Linked DNA regions of Caenorhabditis elegans. The protein of the gene in region 3 purifies or fractionates together with the protein of the main gene of each other region. This does not show direct contact. Each region holds a gene or a part of one and is shown on either strand. Other genes may lie near its edges.

The links. Proteins that work in one complex are often made in the same cells at the same time.
Region 1: the proteins of sdha-1 (region 3) and twk-37 fractionate together in Caenorhabditis elegans (co-fractionation; one large-scale study listed by BioGRID). This does not show direct contact.
Region 2: the proteins of sdha-1 (region 3) and T10F2.2 fractionate together in Caenorhabditis elegans (co-fractionation; one large-scale study listed by BioGRID). This does not show direct contact.

The regions. Positions count from the first base shown.
Region 1 is NC_003279.8:6,268,720-6,273,510, forward strand, and holds twk-37 (Potassium channel domain-containing protein), read right to left. Parts: upstream 2,815-4,791; 5' UTR 2,792-2,814; coding exon 2,763-2,791; intron 2,717-2,762; coding exon 2,657-2,716; intron 2,337-2,656; coding exon 2,152-2,336; intron 2,104-2,151; coding exon 2,009-2,103; intron 1,954-2,008; coding exon 1,867-1,953; intron 1,789-1,866; coding exon 1,659-1,788; intron 1,544-1,658; coding exon 1,378-1,543; intron 1,296-1,377; coding exon 1,037-1,295; intron 980-1,036; coding exon 842-979; 3' UTR 701-841; downstream 1-700. Other genes in the region: oac-9 (Nose resistant-to-fluoxetine protein N-terminal domain-containing protein), read right to left, coding at 1-96, 149-314; C10G11.8 (AAA+ ATPase domain-containing protein), read right to left, coding at 3,294-3,518, 3,560-4,462, 4,744-4,791.
Region 2 is NC_003281.10:5,163,059-5,167,381, forward strand, and holds T10F2.2 (Mitochondrial ornithine transporter 1), read right to left. Parts: upstream 2,254-4,323; 5' UTR 2,234-2,253; coding exon 1,999-2,233; intron 1,630-1,998; coding exon 1,075-1,629; intron 1,018-1,074; coding exon 902-1,017; 3' UTR 701-901; downstream 1-700. Other genes in the region: gars-1 (Glycine--tRNA ligase), read right to left, coding at 483-566; ulp-1 (Sentrin-specific protease), read right to left, coding at 3,221-3,388, 3,591-3,669, 3,746-4,323.
Region 3 is NC_003284.9:8,541,835-8,547,988, forward strand, and holds sdha-1 (Succinate dehydrogenase [ubiquinone] flavoprotein subunit, mitochondrial), read right to left. Parts: upstream 4,188-6,154; 5' UTR 4,182-4,187; coding exon 4,105-4,181; intron 3,940-4,104; coding exon 3,758-3,939; intron 3,715-3,757; coding exon 3,468-3,714; intron 3,230-3,467; coding exon 2,967-3,229; intron 2,920-2,966; coding exon 2,334-2,919; intron 2,180-2,333; coding exon 1,831-2,179; intron 1,613-1,830; coding exon 1,376-1,612; 3' UTR 923-1,375; downstream 1-922. Other genes in the region: nspc-7 (Nematode Specific Peptide family, group C), read left to right, coding at 53-55, 102-404; D2021.4 (Acyl-CoA thioesterase-like C-terminal domain-containing protein), read right to left, coding at 4,664-4,828, 4,966-5,123, 5,763-5,997, 6,039-6,142. UniProt on the Caenorhabditis elegans protein: Flavoprotein (FP) subunit of succinate dehydrogenase (SDH) that is involved in complex II of the mitochondrial electron transport chain and is responsible for transferring electrons from succinate to ubiquinone (coenzyme Q).

The DNA.
Region 1 (4,791 bases), on a different chromosome or scaffold from region 3:
AGTTTGGCTCGAGGCACGTGTTAGATGAGCATTCAGACAGAAATTTCAATGCAGATTTGCCAATATTTCCGAGCGAATTGATACAAAAACTATCATCTGAAAACATATCGTAAAGTGACATTTTCATTTAAAAAAAAGCTGAAATTGCCTTCGAAATTTTTGAAAAGTTCTTGAAACTTGTTGAACTTGGTGTGATTGTCTTTATCGCCTTCAAAAATTTGTTGAAGAATTTGTTTTCCAGACTTGGTAAATGAGCAGCTGACGAAGGCTGATGAGGGTAGAAACGAGACAAGTATCAAATAGACGAGATTCATTGTTTTCATGGGAAAACTTTCACAAATGATAATCGAAAATAAATTGTTTGATAATTAATGATTGCGTTTTCACAAATGACGGTATTTGCGTGAGCTGCACGTATTCCTGGAAAATAATTTTCAGAAAGAAAAGAACAATAAATTTTTTTTAACTAGCCACAAACACCGTTGTTTGAGAGATTAAAAATTCAATTACCAAATAGGTTATTCACGAATGCGCTACTAAAATTAACTCCGTAACGAGAAATTGCACATGAGGTTATAGGTACGGCGCTGGGAGGTCAAATAAAAAGGCGGGTGTGAGGCGCCTCTGTCAAGCCTTTACCGGATTAAATCTCTAAATGGGCAGTTTTTTTTTCCTTTCATTGTGCAAAAAAAGAAGCTTTTTGTAATTTCTTCATTCTCTTAATGACGAAAAAGAATAAGAATTAAACCACAAAAAGAATATCAATAAAAATTGTAATAAGCAAAGAGATATTTTAAATTTTGAGAATAATCTGATATCAATTATGATCACTGGATCGAAATCATTCCTTCGCTGTAGTCGTTGCAGCAAGTTTCCGTTGAGAAGCACCAGGTGATATCATATTTGTTTCTAAAGTGTCGGTAGCATGCCGTTCATCGAAGAGCTCCAAAACTCTCATAAATCTGTTTTCCATCGAATGCTGAAATTTGTAAACTTTAGACACTTGGTTTCTTACAAGGGAATCTTCACAGCTTACATGAACGAGAACTAAAACCATTGAAATCAGTGATAAATCGATAAAGTGTAATACACAAATAATAGTTCCAGAGATATGACCTGACGGAACAAAATCTCCAAATCCAATAGTTGAAAATGTACTGAAAGAAAAGTACAAGGCATCATAGAATACAAACTCCTCATAGACAGCAATTGCAAGTGCTCCGAAGCCCCAAAATGTGACAAGAAGAATAAAAGCTTTCAGTACTGTCATCTTATACTTTGCCGACTTTTTGCCACTGAAAACTAAATAATGAACTCAAATAAAGATTTTATATGGAAAGTTGAGAAGAGGTTATTTATGTTTAAATGTTAAATTACCATTTTCGAACGCAAATTGCAAAAATTTTGAGTGTCAAATTGCATATTTTCAACGTTATTTTTCCATTGTTGCGAAGTACGTAGAGTGTTAGAGCAATTCCTATAATACCATAAGCTACAGTAACCAATTTACCGGCAATTGTGTGACAGACAAGTTCGCCGTACCCTGAAATAGAAAATAGAATGATTAGACGACACCTCGGGAGAAAATTTTAAAAATATTTTTCAAAATGTTCGAAATCAGTTTTGATACTATTTTACTTGTTAATCCCGAGTCATACCTATTGTCGTAATACAAGTGATTACATAAGCCAGCCCATCCAGAAACTCTTCTATATGCTTTGGAGGGTTTGAAGCGTAGAGTAGGTCAAAAATTTCTTTTATACAATTGTTGTTCAACTCATTATCTGCCTGAAATAGATGAAAATTGTATCGAGGCGTTTTCCGGGTATGCTCAATTGAAAGAGATGCAGAAATACTTTCACAAACCTTTTTCAATTTTCCACACTTGCTACCTTTCATTGAATTGTAGATGTGTATTGATTTCTGACGAATATTTCTTTTGAACTCATTAATCTGAAAATATTATCAATGAATATATATCTGCAACAGAAACAAAAGCTTTACAAACATTCATATCAGATCTCGATTCAATCTGCCAAAACAAGAGAGCTCCACCAATTATATATGCAACAAGAACCACAAATGCAATTATTGTATTAAATTCTGAAATTTGAAACATTACTTTAAGCAGAATATAAACCAAATCCTCACTTCGAATCTTTCTCAAAATTGTTCGTAATTTCGTTGGCTTCGGTCTTTCCGCTCTAGACTTTCGTTCAACAAATTTTAAAATAGATTGCTTTCTGACAAGATGTTGAGTTTCTGGTGAAGATTTTTCCATTTGCCTCTTTATAAATTTATTAATAAGTCGATCCGTGTGAGTTTGCATTCCATCGCTGAAAGACTATTGCAGTTTGGATTGACAGTGGTGAAGCAGTGGGTATTGTTTGAGAAGATTTGACAGCTATTCTGTCGTCTTTATATTTTCCTGGTGTAGATAATACAGAAACTCGACATTTTGCTTCAGCTTTTTCTCGCACATTGTCGCACATCTTTGCGGGTTACCCCTAGTTTCGAATTTTCCGCGCATTTCTTCGCATGCTATCGTAGATCGTCGCAGATTTTCGCGATTTCCCAGCTTTCAATCGCACGGAGCGAAATGTCGAGCATGTGGGTTACAAACTAATTTTCTTCTGTGGATTGTAGTTATACTCACCTATTAGAAGTGTGATGGTTAGAGCTGTGTGATTTTTGATTTGAAGGTATTGAATCTGAACTGAAAAATGTAGTTTTTTTTAGATGAAAACAATGATTCTGCAAACCTCGATTGTCTTCTATTTGATGCTACCATTGGGACGATATTGACTCCAAAAATTAGAACTGACTTTTAAAAAATCGATTTTTAATAGTTTTGGCCATCTCAGAAAATATCACGTTTCTTGGTTATGGTGGTATTTAATAATTTTATAATTTTTAAAACTGTACGTAAACAATTTTTTCAAGAAACTTGGCGAGCTCAATGAGTTTGAAATTTTTTAAACAAATTTGGATATTTATTTTTGTATCTATTTGAGTGTATACGACAAATCTCATCTTGTGTTAAACAGTAACACATTGAAACAATAAAATATTTATACTCGAGATCGGTATTCAAAACGCCTCGGATCAAGTTAACATAATTCTTCAAATTGAGGCTCTGGAAGGGAAAGAAACTACGAAAACAAACAGTCTATGGTCATAGAAAGACCAAAGAAATTAACTACAGATGTTCATAAAAACATCTGCACTGGCATTGTAAGAGAAGAAAGGTTCATTAGGGTAAACTCGTTTGTACTTTATTGAATTTCCGATTGTCAAGAGAAGAATCCTTCTGGTGCTCCGCCCTTCTTCGACAGCATAACCGATTTGACAGCCTTCTCAAAGTCATCCGTTCCGACACATTTTCGTTGAGCACGAAGAGCCAGCATACCAGCTTCCGTGCAAACCGCCTTGATTTCAGCTCCACTAATGCTCTTCTCCTTTCCCAATACATTCTCATAGGTGACAGCTTTCTGAATCGTCATTCCAGAGGTGTGGATCTAAAAATAAAAATTATTTAAGAAATGTTGAATTGACTAACCGTGAAAATCTTTTGTCTAGTCTTCTCATCTGGTTTTGGTAACTCAATCTTTCTATCAATTCGTCCAGGACGGATAAGAGCGGGATCCAGCGAGTCGATTCTGTTCGTTGCCATGATAATTTTGACATCTCCACGGCTTTCAAACCCGTCCAATTGATTTAAGAGCTCAAGAAGAGTTCGTTGAACTTCTTGTTCTCCACGTGAAGAAGTATCAAATCTTTTCGTACCAACTGCATCAATTTCATCAATGAATACAATCGATGGAGCCTGTTCCTTTGCCATTTGGAAGATTTGACGAACAAGACGAGCACCTTCCCCACTTTGTTTCTGAACAAGATCGGATCCAGTTGCACGGATGAATGTTGCAGATGTTGAGTTTGCAACTGCTTTCGCCAAAAGCGTCTTTCCAGTTCCAGGTTCACCGTAAAGAATAACTCCTTTCGGAGCAGTGATTCCCATTTCTTCATAGTACTCTGGATGAGTAAGAGGAAGTTCCACAGACTCTTTCAGCTCTTGAATTTGACTCTCACATCCTCCAATGTCATCGAATGTCTCTTTTGGTGTCTTCTCAACTTTATGTCCCATCGCATTGCTGTCAATCTTGTCATCCAAAACTCCAACGATTGCACTTGGAACTGTTTTGAACATTCCACCAGCCTTCACCATGACGAGGGCATTCAGACGAAGCAAGTCCTTGTCGACGATCGAGAGAATTGGTACGTACCATTCACGTCTCGAACCTTCAACGACCACAACGGCATGCTTCTCATCATCGAAAAGCTCGTGGACACGAGCCAATGTGGTTGGAGTTCCTCGGAGACTTTGAACTAATTGCTGTTCACGACGTTTTTGGACAGCAAGAGGGCGACCATGACGGCTTGTTTGACGAGTGATGAACTCTTTCTGTAATGAAAACAACTGTTAACCATTTAACTGCAGTCATAGGATCCCTACGCAACTGACATAAACAAAACAAAATTCTCTACGTCTATCCTACTACTCCAACCCTACAACGATTTGAAGTTCGTGTAATGATGACGTCATAGATTGCAAACTACATTTACTACAAGCTATGGCTTTATGAAGTGTTAAAGACCTCGAGTTAGATAAATTCCGCATCTTTGCTCTCTAGGGATGAACTCTTTGCTTTCTAGGGATGAACTGATAATTTAGTTTTCACAAACCTCCAACTGCAAGTAATCATGAATCCTGTTCATCTTGAGAAGGCGCAC
Region 2 (4,323 bases), on a different chromosome or scaffold from region 3:
TTTCAAAAAGCATTAAAACTTTCAAACCCTTTTCATATAATTACTGGAGAACCAGCGAAATCTAGCGAAGTTTTCAGGAAAAAAACATTGCGAAATTCAACACAAAGAAAATGAAATGCAAGGCTGTCAGATTTCATCATGTTTGAATTTGTTTGTACATGCACACCGTTTCCGCTAAATTGCGGATCAACAATAACAATTTCACACCATTTTTATTAATGATATTTACATCAAAGTTTGAAATTTTTGTTTTAAGCTTCTAAAAAAGGTATTAAAATTTTTTAACTTTCAGAAAATAATAAATTCTCACAGAAAAAGGAAAAACAATTTAGCCGATTGTGTCTTCAGTCCGATATACTGACGACAAGATTCACTTCCGCATGGACAACGAGATCATGCGCGAGTGTAAAAAGAAACAGGATTTGCCCAGCTATTCGTGATGAGACCTCAATCTCACTACCTAATTTGATATCTGTTCTCACCTTGAAAAATGAATTTTCCGATGAAAATTGTCTTATTAACCGCGAGTATCGGACGCTGCTTTTTAACCAGCAACTAGAGAACATGAACTGGAAGATTTTTGACTTTAGAAAGTTGTAGATCATTAGAAGCATTGGCCAGTGTTAGAAGCAGATAAATAAGTGACTATGAACAAATGTTCATTACATTTAGGATTTTTGAAGGTTAAATATAACAAAAAAAAACAATTTTTATTAAAAAATTTAGAAAACAACAACCGGGCGTAAGTGAGCCTATGGCAATCTCAGAGTAACCGTTAGAAACCGAAAAAAAACATTAAGAGAAACAACGAAGAAAGCTCTCATAGCATGATGATATTTGTGTGATGGAAAGAAAAAATGAGGAAAAATTGAAAAATTTACTAGGCAGAGATTAATATAATCTAGAGGACGTAGTGGAAGAACTTTCGTGTCTCTTCATAAGCGACGAAAAGACATCCAGAAGCGAAGCAAGTTCTTAGATTGGTTGGTAGAAGTCCTTTGTAGAGTCCACGAATTCCTGTAAAATTGAATTTTTATAAGAAATTGAATTAATTATCCCTCAATAATGACTTACCATTCTCTTTAACGACAGCGCCCAAAGTAGACATAAAAGTTCCTCCTCCGGTGACTTGCATTCTCGATTTAACGACATCTGCTGGATAAATGGATGTCCATAATGCCATACCACCAACTGATCCAGCCATTGCTGTCTTCACAAGTCCAATTTCTTCCTTTTTCTGTCCTTCATCAGTCAATAAGAAACGGCATGTTTCGTAGGCTCCAAAGAAGAAGAAATAACCAGGAACCTCTCTTGCAAGAGTCGGAGTCATTCCAACAAAGAATCCACGGACACCAGTATCCTTCATGATATCCCGACAAACAGAGAATGGTGTACACTTCTTCTTCATTTCACGAGCTGCTTGAAGTTTACATTTGACAAGTTCTGTTGGACAGAGTACGGTAGCTGCAAAAACTGCGGCAAGAGATCCGGAGAATGCATTTTCCAATGGTGTCATTTGTCTGACATCTTCGAGTCCATTCAGTGTGGCAATTGTTTTTTGGCAGTAACCATAGGCAGTGAAGAGAACTGCATTTTCAGCAACATTTGCAGCTAGAGCTGGGAGAGTTCCTGGATGTTGAAAAATATGAATTTTAGAAATCAAGTTACATTTAATTTTTCAAGATTTTTTCGATTTCATCTCGACTTCCAAATCAAAACTACGTTATTTGAAATAAAACGTTCAAAAAAATTGCTGAGCTTTCTGGAAGCTTTTTAGAAATTGTATTTTATTTAAAAAGAATCTGAAACTTTTGCAAAAAAAGGTTTTTTTTGAAAACACGTTATATTGTTCTTCCCAGAAAGGGTGAGAATTTTTACTTCAAGAAGTACTCTTTTTTATAGTTGCATGGAACGTGTTCAGTACAAAGGATTGTTTTTCTTTTTTTAGATTCAGAAATCCAGACTAAGCTCAAAATTTTCGAAACAAAAATAACAAACCAGCGTAAAGTCCTCGAATTCCGTCCAATTTATAAGTATCCTTGAGACAAACAATCCAATTTGAATAGAGATTCGGGAATGTTTGTACTTTTACTTTAACTGTATCTAATGGTTGTCCAGCATACACGTTGGCAATTCCACCAGCTGTTCCAGCCAATAAATCGATAATTCCATCTTTAAAATGATTGGCTGAAGCATCACCCGTTGCAGTTGTAGGTTCACCGCTTTCATGCATATTTCTATCTATTTTATTTTCTGAAATAACAAAAATTGGAAGAAATGGTTTTGAAAATTTCCAGAAAATTTAGATCACGATCATTTTTTCTTGTTTGCTAAATAGCTGGTTTTGTTGGTTTTTCGGACCAAAAAACAAAAAATTTAACTTTTGAGTCGTGAGGAGGAAAACAAAACGACAATTTCTTTTGGTTTTGGGAAGTTAAATTTTTTGTGACTTTGTGATCACGATGAGCACAATAAAGGAGGATTTAAATTTCCTCTGTTTAGAAAATAAAACATTGAATCTGTATAAACTTCAAAATATATAACCATGAGGTTGAAAATAAAACCAAGAAGAAAAAAAAATAAATTTCAACGAAAAAAAAGTGAAGAAATTGTATTTATTGCAACTTGCAATGGTGACGGGGATCGGGAGTGAAATATATTGATATAACAGAGAAAGCTGATTGATATTATTGAACTGGGAATTGAAAGGTGGAAGGGAGAGAAAATTGTTAATAAATACGTCAAAAATCAAATAAAACTCGGATAAAAGGAAGAATGAAAAAGAGAAAAGAGAAAAAAGGCCAGAGATCCACAGAGACAAAAAAATCTTAAAAACGGGATGGGAAAGTTTGCATCACCTTTTGAAACAAAACAACGTCATCTGAGAATGACCACGTGACAAGTGATAATGTGATGTGATCTGACACCGTCGATCATCTTTAATCTTTTGTATGAACATTCTTTACACGGTATGAAATGAAATCAAAAGTTATAATTAGTGATGAGAATCACAACGATATTTTGGATAATGAAGAAATGCTACGAAAATGGGAAATATGGTTAATTCGAAATACAGAAAATTAAAGACTTTCTAGATGATTCGGGCTTACGACACCGACAAAATATAAGTTTTAATTATGCCCAATGAGAAGAAAATACATTTTACAGCTACTTTTCCGGAAACAAAACTATGAATTATGACACTTTTAATCTTCTAGAATCAAATAGTTGCGAGTAACTTCTTCGAAACAATCTCGTAAACCATTCGCTTTCTGTAGTATGGCATATTTTTCTGCGTGAAGCGAGGCGTCGTTCGTCGAGATGCCCATTCACCGAATTGGCATGAGAATACTCCACAGTCACTGCCATTTTGTTGACGAGGAATGTCCTAAACAAGATGATTATCGCGTGTTGAAGATCTTTTTGTGTGTGTAATTTCAGAAGTATTACTGGTTGTTTTAGAGAGCATAGATATCAAAAAAAGAGTGATTGAGCCAAACATCTGGACTTCTAAAAAAAAACTTTTTTTCAGAAATAAATTTAAAGTAAAAATCCTTTTTTTTATTTAATTTTTTTAAAATTCAATATACCGTCATCTGTTGAATTGTCCATCCAGAAAAGTTCATTGCTGTCTTTTTCTTATCCAATGATTCAGCTTCCAAGTAACCTCTGAAATATAAAATATTTATTGATATATTCTCTGTGAGTTTTTTAAATAAAAACCAAAAACACTCAAAAAACTAACCGCAATGCTGGCAAAACGGCTGTATTTCCATCATAAAGAGAGTCATAAAACTCAATCTTCTTTTCGCCCATATCGATAACAGCCATACACCAATGCATTCCAAGATGAACTGGCACCAAAACGATGTCGAATGCAAAGATATCGACTTTTCTTGTCCATCGTTTCACACTCGCGTATCCTTTTGAAACAATATTGGAATAAAAGAATGTGTTGAATGCATAGATCTTTGGATATTTCGAATCGCCATTGCTCCGATCACAAATCAATTGAAGATAGAAATTGATGATCTCATCATTCAGCCAATGCAATCCACTCAATGTTGCAAGATCTTTTTTACAGATCTGAATGCTGAATGCATCCACAAATTGTTCATTTGGATTCCCTCCGCTCCATGCTCTTTCTACAAGAGCATCAGCAGCATCAGGTAAAGCCATAAAATCATCAACTTTCTTCTTCTCCACCTTCGGACGAATAGCGATTCCTTGCAATTCAAGTCTCTTCCGAACATCTTCCAATCGATCACCTCTTGTTTGAGAGCGATGTCCTTCTCGTATCCGAGCCTCTTCTAGAAGTTTATC
Region 3 (6,154 bases):
AAAATCTTTTGGCAGTGCTGGGAGAACATCAGCATTCAACTGATACCTCAACATGGTACGTTTTTTTCTGCTTTGAATGCAATAATTAAATACTCTTTCAGTTCCTTCGCATCCTCGTCGCACTTTGCCTTGTGTCTGCCATCAGCTCCATCACCTTGCAACTCTGTCAAGAATTCTGTGCTGGTGTCAATGGTGGTGAATCCTACGCATACTGCTCTCCATGGATCAGTTTTGCCACTCATACCAACAAGACTTGCTATAATCTCTGTGTTCATAACTGTGCTGCTGTCTACGATGGTTCCTGCACTACCGACCCTGACTTCAGATGCTGCTTGAAAACCACACCAGCGAAGACTCAAGAATTCAAGACTAGTGGCTGCAACAAGCTTTATAATAATTTGTGAAAGAAGGACTTTGCTGTCTTGATATAATGAAGGTTTTCATCAAAAACGTTTTTTGTCACTCACACAATATCATTAAATTTGTTTTTCTTACTAGAAGGAAGTGGATGTTATCTCCTGGTTTGCTGAAAATTATTTGCAATATGTGCCAGTACTTGCTGCTGCTTAATTGACTCCTGATGCTCAATTGTTTATTTACAGTACACACTTCTAGGAAATAGCCAAAAAGTAATGTAGCTATAGTTAAATAAAAAAAATAGAAAATATTGAGTAAAGAGCAATTCAAGGCCGGTGAAGTATTTGACTAGATGACCGACGTCGATGCAGAGCTTATCAAAACGGACTTTTTCATTTTATAAGCATCAATCAGTGGTTATCACCGTGTTACAGATACATTTTACAGGAAAGTATGTATTCGTATATGTAATTGAAATACGGTCATCTATTTGGAGTATAAATTTGTTTCAGAGTTTCCTCCATAAATGTTTTCAATTTTTTTTTGCGAAAAAAAGAATACACTTGCCTTGTTAAAACATAAAATAAAACATATAAAATAATAAAACATAAAATACTTTATACTGTGCCCTAATATTATTAACTGTTCTGCGGCACGTTCCTATTCAAATGACGATGGTGTCTCAAATACTTTATTTCAAAGGTTCAGCAATCTATTTTGCTACTAAATTACACACATCTACCAATAATGCATACACTTTTTTTAAAAATAGATAACAAAAACGGTGACACAAACTTAAGGAAGAATGAAGAAAAAACAATGAGAATTGAATGGGAGGGACGTTGAGGCGCGCGAATCTTAATAAAACGGGGAACGAAGGCAAACTGGTGACAGTTACAGTGTTGCATGGGCTGTTGATGAAAAATAGAGACAAAAAACAAAGTTTTTCGCAATTAGGGGACTATACAACTTGGGAGGGAATTCATTGTGGGGGGGGGGGGGGGGGCGGAGAGAGTGCCTAATAGGAGCGGACCTTTGGTGGCACCCAGTCGGTTTCGCTTTTGTCGAGAGTAGTGTCAATGACTGGACGATAGTCAAGTGAAACCTCTCCTGTTTCGATGTTCGATCTGATGATCGAATGCTTGCGCCAGTGGTCCTTCAACTCCTTCTTGGTCTGTCCCTCCAATGGCTTGCTGTAGTCGAGCTCGTCGAGTCTGTCAGGGAAGTCGTCACGAGCGTGGGCTCCACGGGATTCCTGAAATTTTGATGTCAGAAATTTGTTTCCCAATACGTTTTCCATTCATTTCTTTTTGAAATGATAATTTAATTAAAACGTGAACTTTACTTACATTTTTAAGCTTACTGTTAGAAACTAAGCCTGAAATGGGCGAAAAGGATCACGTGAAACACAACTATTCATATTTTTGGGCCAGGTATGCTATACAAGTACCTAAATGTGTATTCAAACCATACCTCTCTGTTCTCAGCGGCAACGATGGTTTGGGTAGCGTTAATGAGCAAGTTCTGGAGCTCGAGGGTCTCAATGAGATCCGAGTTCCAGACGAGTCCCTTGTCAGCAACGTTGAGATGAGCTTGGTCCTTGTACAACTTGGATAAGACCTTGACTCCCTCCTTCAAGATATCTCCACGACGGAATACGGCGGCGTGGTTTTGCATTGACTTTTGCATGGTGAGACGAAGCTCGGCAGTTGAGATGTCTCCCTTGTTGTGACGGAGTTTGTCAATGTTGGCAACGGAGGCCTCTCCGGCGTTCTTTGGAAGTTCTGGAACTCCAACTCCGGCAGAGGTGTTCTTGAGGATGCTGAAAAATAATAGTATAAAATTGTCCATAAAACGGTGGTTTTCGTTTTTTTAATTGTCTTGTTGGTGATGCCAACCAGGTACAAATACGCAGATTTTTTCGTTTAGCGCTATCTCCGATTAAAATAATCATACTCTATAGAATAAGCTCTTACTCAATAGCGCATGCTCTTCCGAAGATGACCAAATCCAAAAGGGAGTTGGCTCCAAGTCTGTTAGCTCCGTGGACAGAGTGAGCTCCGCATTCTCCTGCAGCATAAAGTCCTGGAACGACTTCATCTCCCTTTTTGGGTGTGTAGTTGAGAACTTGTCCCTTATAGTTGGTTGGTACTCCTCCCATATTGTAGTGAACGGTTGGAATAACTGGGATTGGTTCCTTGGTGACGTCAACTCCGGCGAAGATCATGGCTGTCTCAGAAATTCCTGGCAATCTTTGTTGAAGTTGCTCTGCTGGAAGATGGTGCAGTTGGAGGTAAATGTGATCCTTGTCTGGTCCAACTCCACGTCCCTCCATAATTTCAACAGTCATCGAACGAGACACGACGTCACGGGAGGCGAGATCCTTGGCGTTTGGTGCATAACGTTCCATGAACCGTTCTCCAGCGGAGTTCACCAAATATCCTCCTTCTCCACGAGATCCCTCAGTGATCAAGCATCCAGCTCCATAGATTCCAGTTGGGTGGAATTGAACAAACTCCATGTCAGAGTTGTTGATTCCAGCACGAGCAGTCAAAGCAGTTCCTGTAAATTATTGTAAATGTGTTGTTCAAACGTTGAAATTTACATACCGTCTCCAGTGCAAGTGTGAGCAGATGTGCAAGAGAAGAAGGCTCTTCCGTATCCACCAGTAGCGAGAACAGTGTTCTTTGAGCGGAAACGATGAATAGTTCCATCTTCAAGATCCATGGCGATGACTCCGACACAGACTCCGTTCTCCATGATGAGATCTAGGGCAAAGTACTCAACAAAGTAGTTGCAGTTGTATTGGAGGGAAGCTCCGTAGAGGGTGTGGAGAAGAGAATGACCAGTACGATCAGCAACACAGCAAGTTCTGAAATTGATTTTGTTTTAGATATATTTGGATAGGGAAGTTGTTTTTAACGGAGACGGGGAGGCATTACAATTAAAATATTCTGATTAAGTTGTATGAATATAACTAGAAATTACTCCATCTTAAACATGACTTGCGCCTCATAAAGTTTCATTTTTGTTAATTAAATTTCCGATAAATAACTTCGATAGCACAAATTTAAAACTTTACTCGTTAGTATTTCATAAAACTTTCAAACCTGTGAGCCTGTCCTCCACGTCCAAAATCGTTGGATTGTCCTCCGAAAGCACGCTGGTAAATTTTTCCATCGGTGGTACGAGAGAATGGCATTCCGTAATTCTCAAGCTCAATGACAGCTCTCTCGGCTTCACGAGTCATGTAGTGAATGGCATCCTGATCTCCGAGCCAATCGGATCCTTTCACAGTGTCGTAGAAATGCCAGCGCCAGTTATCTGGGTTCATGTTTCCTAGAGCAGCATTGATTCCTGAAAAAAAATGTCGAGATATTATTGAGGGAAAACTGCTAACCTCCTTGAGCTGCGACTGTGTGAGATCTGGTTGGAAAAAGTTTGGTGATAACAGCGGTCTTAAGTCCTCCTTCGGCAAGTCCCATAGCGGCACGGAGACCAGCTCCTCCGGCTCCAACAACAACTGCGTCGTAAGCATGATCGACGACCTTGTATTGAGCAATATCGGATCGCTTGGCATCACTGAAATATCAACAGTGAATTTTCGAGAATTTCTAAAAAATTTTCCTTTTTTTTTGAATTTACACTTGAAATTTTGGCCTTTTTCAAGTTCATTATTGACTTTCTTTGATTTATATGTTCAAAGTATGTACTAAATTTCCAAACTCGACATCTTCCTGATCTTACCTGTGGTTTGCAGCGGAAAGCGAAACAGAACGGGCGGCGACCGTGTTACGGAGGCCGTTGCTGGCGGCTCGGAGCATTTTTCCCTGAAAATCGATAAACGTGATATACATGCCAAAAAATTCTTATTTAAATTCACCGAAATTGTAAAGAAAAATGTAAAATAACCCAAGATTACCGCAAAAAAACAAGTACACACTCGATAAACAAAGATAAACGTGCGGAATTGCAATTTAAAATGAGTGTTGCACACCAAATGAACCGCTCGTAGACACGAAACGCGCCAGCAGTCCCTTTGGCGCATTTCACGAAGAGAGAAAGAGGAAAGAGGCAGCGTCCTTTTCCATTGCAAGGGTACACACCACGAGGGGAATACGACAGGAAAAGAAGACTCATAGAACGGTCAGAAATGTCCACGTTTGAAAAAGGAAAAATATCTGAAACTAGCGGCTCTTCAATGAAAATGATTAGAGTATAAGTTGTTATCAGTTATCATCAAACACTTTATATGAAATCACACATTTCATTTATTCAGAGTTAATATTCATGTTAATCACAAAAATTACAGTTTTGAGTTTTCTGGTTCGACTTCTTTTGGAACGACATATGCTTCCTGAATAAATGACATGACACATTCCTTGTTGCTGTCGAATACTTCCCCGAATATTTTTGCTTTGTTTCCTGTTGCAATTTCAGTTCTGGTTTCCACCAGAAACCATTGGATAGCCTGAAAAAATATTATACAGTGTGTTGTGCAACTTTTAAGAAATAGATATGACTTGAAAAAAACTATGGATTGTGTATATCTAGATTTGTATCAACTTTATCAGTTTAGCAAGTGCTACATTTTTTTTCAATACATACTTCAACCCTCTCCTGATGGAAGTGGATTTTGTGATGTAACGATGCTCCAGTGCTCATTCTAAGTCCAGCTTTGTTGATTGCATTTTGCACTGACTGCAGAACCATAAAATCAGATAAAGCTACAACCGCTACCATTCCTCCATCTTCTCGGATAATGTCTGAATTGAAAATTTTATGGGCATAGTTTTCTGATTTTTTTTGATTTAAAAATTTGAATAAGTAGTCAAATAATTGGTGTAACGGTCAGGAAAATGTAATCTTGCATTACTTTAATACCTATTTATAGATTTGGGACTTCAGCCTCATATAACATTACTAAACTGTTGATTTAAGTTGTAAATGCACATTTTCAACAGGTAAATGCAATTGGGCGGGCAAATCGAACGCACCGTTTTTCCCAGTGTCATTTCTCGAGTATTCATTTCACGTTCCAGATTTTTGGAATTTTGAAAACAGAGATAGTGTATTGCGACAAGACAAAAATCATAGACACTGTCAAAAAAAGGTATTAAAACCTTCTGTAACATCTCAAAGCTAGACACCAAATTTCCCAGAATTCGGAAACTGGACGTTCGGTTCAGCTCTATGAATCAGTAGGAGAAGTGAATGAAGTTAGAAATACGTAACAAATTTACAACTTTTCCAGAAAAACGTTTCCTTTGAACTTTATGGTATACAAATTTGTCAACAATAACCATCAAAATAAGCGGTATTACTTTTCTCAGAATTTCTGCCTTTTTGAATTTTTTTCAGTCAGCTATGTTTTTAATTAAAAGTTACGTTTTTTTTAAACACACCAATGCACTCTGGAGTAAGCCGTGCATAGTAAACCACTCTGTGTTCGCCAGAAGCCGGACCAGACAGCATATATAAAGGACGAATATCAAAAACCACGTGCTTCAAAAATAGTTCAAAATCTTTTCTTTGTTTTGTAGATAGCTGATTTTCAATTTGTCGTTCCATGTTTGGTAAAGATAAAAGTCCCGGCACATCCGATGGAAATGGTATTTTTCTGAGAAACTTGCTGTCAGTCTAAAAGGTTGATATTTAATCCTATCCTAAATTTTTCTAACTTTAATGTGAGCCAATCCAATTTTTTTGTTTTCATGATAGACATCAGCAGTGTACACATTTCCGACTTTTTCGATTTTAATGTCAATTAACTTTCTCGGATCACCTGAAAATTAAA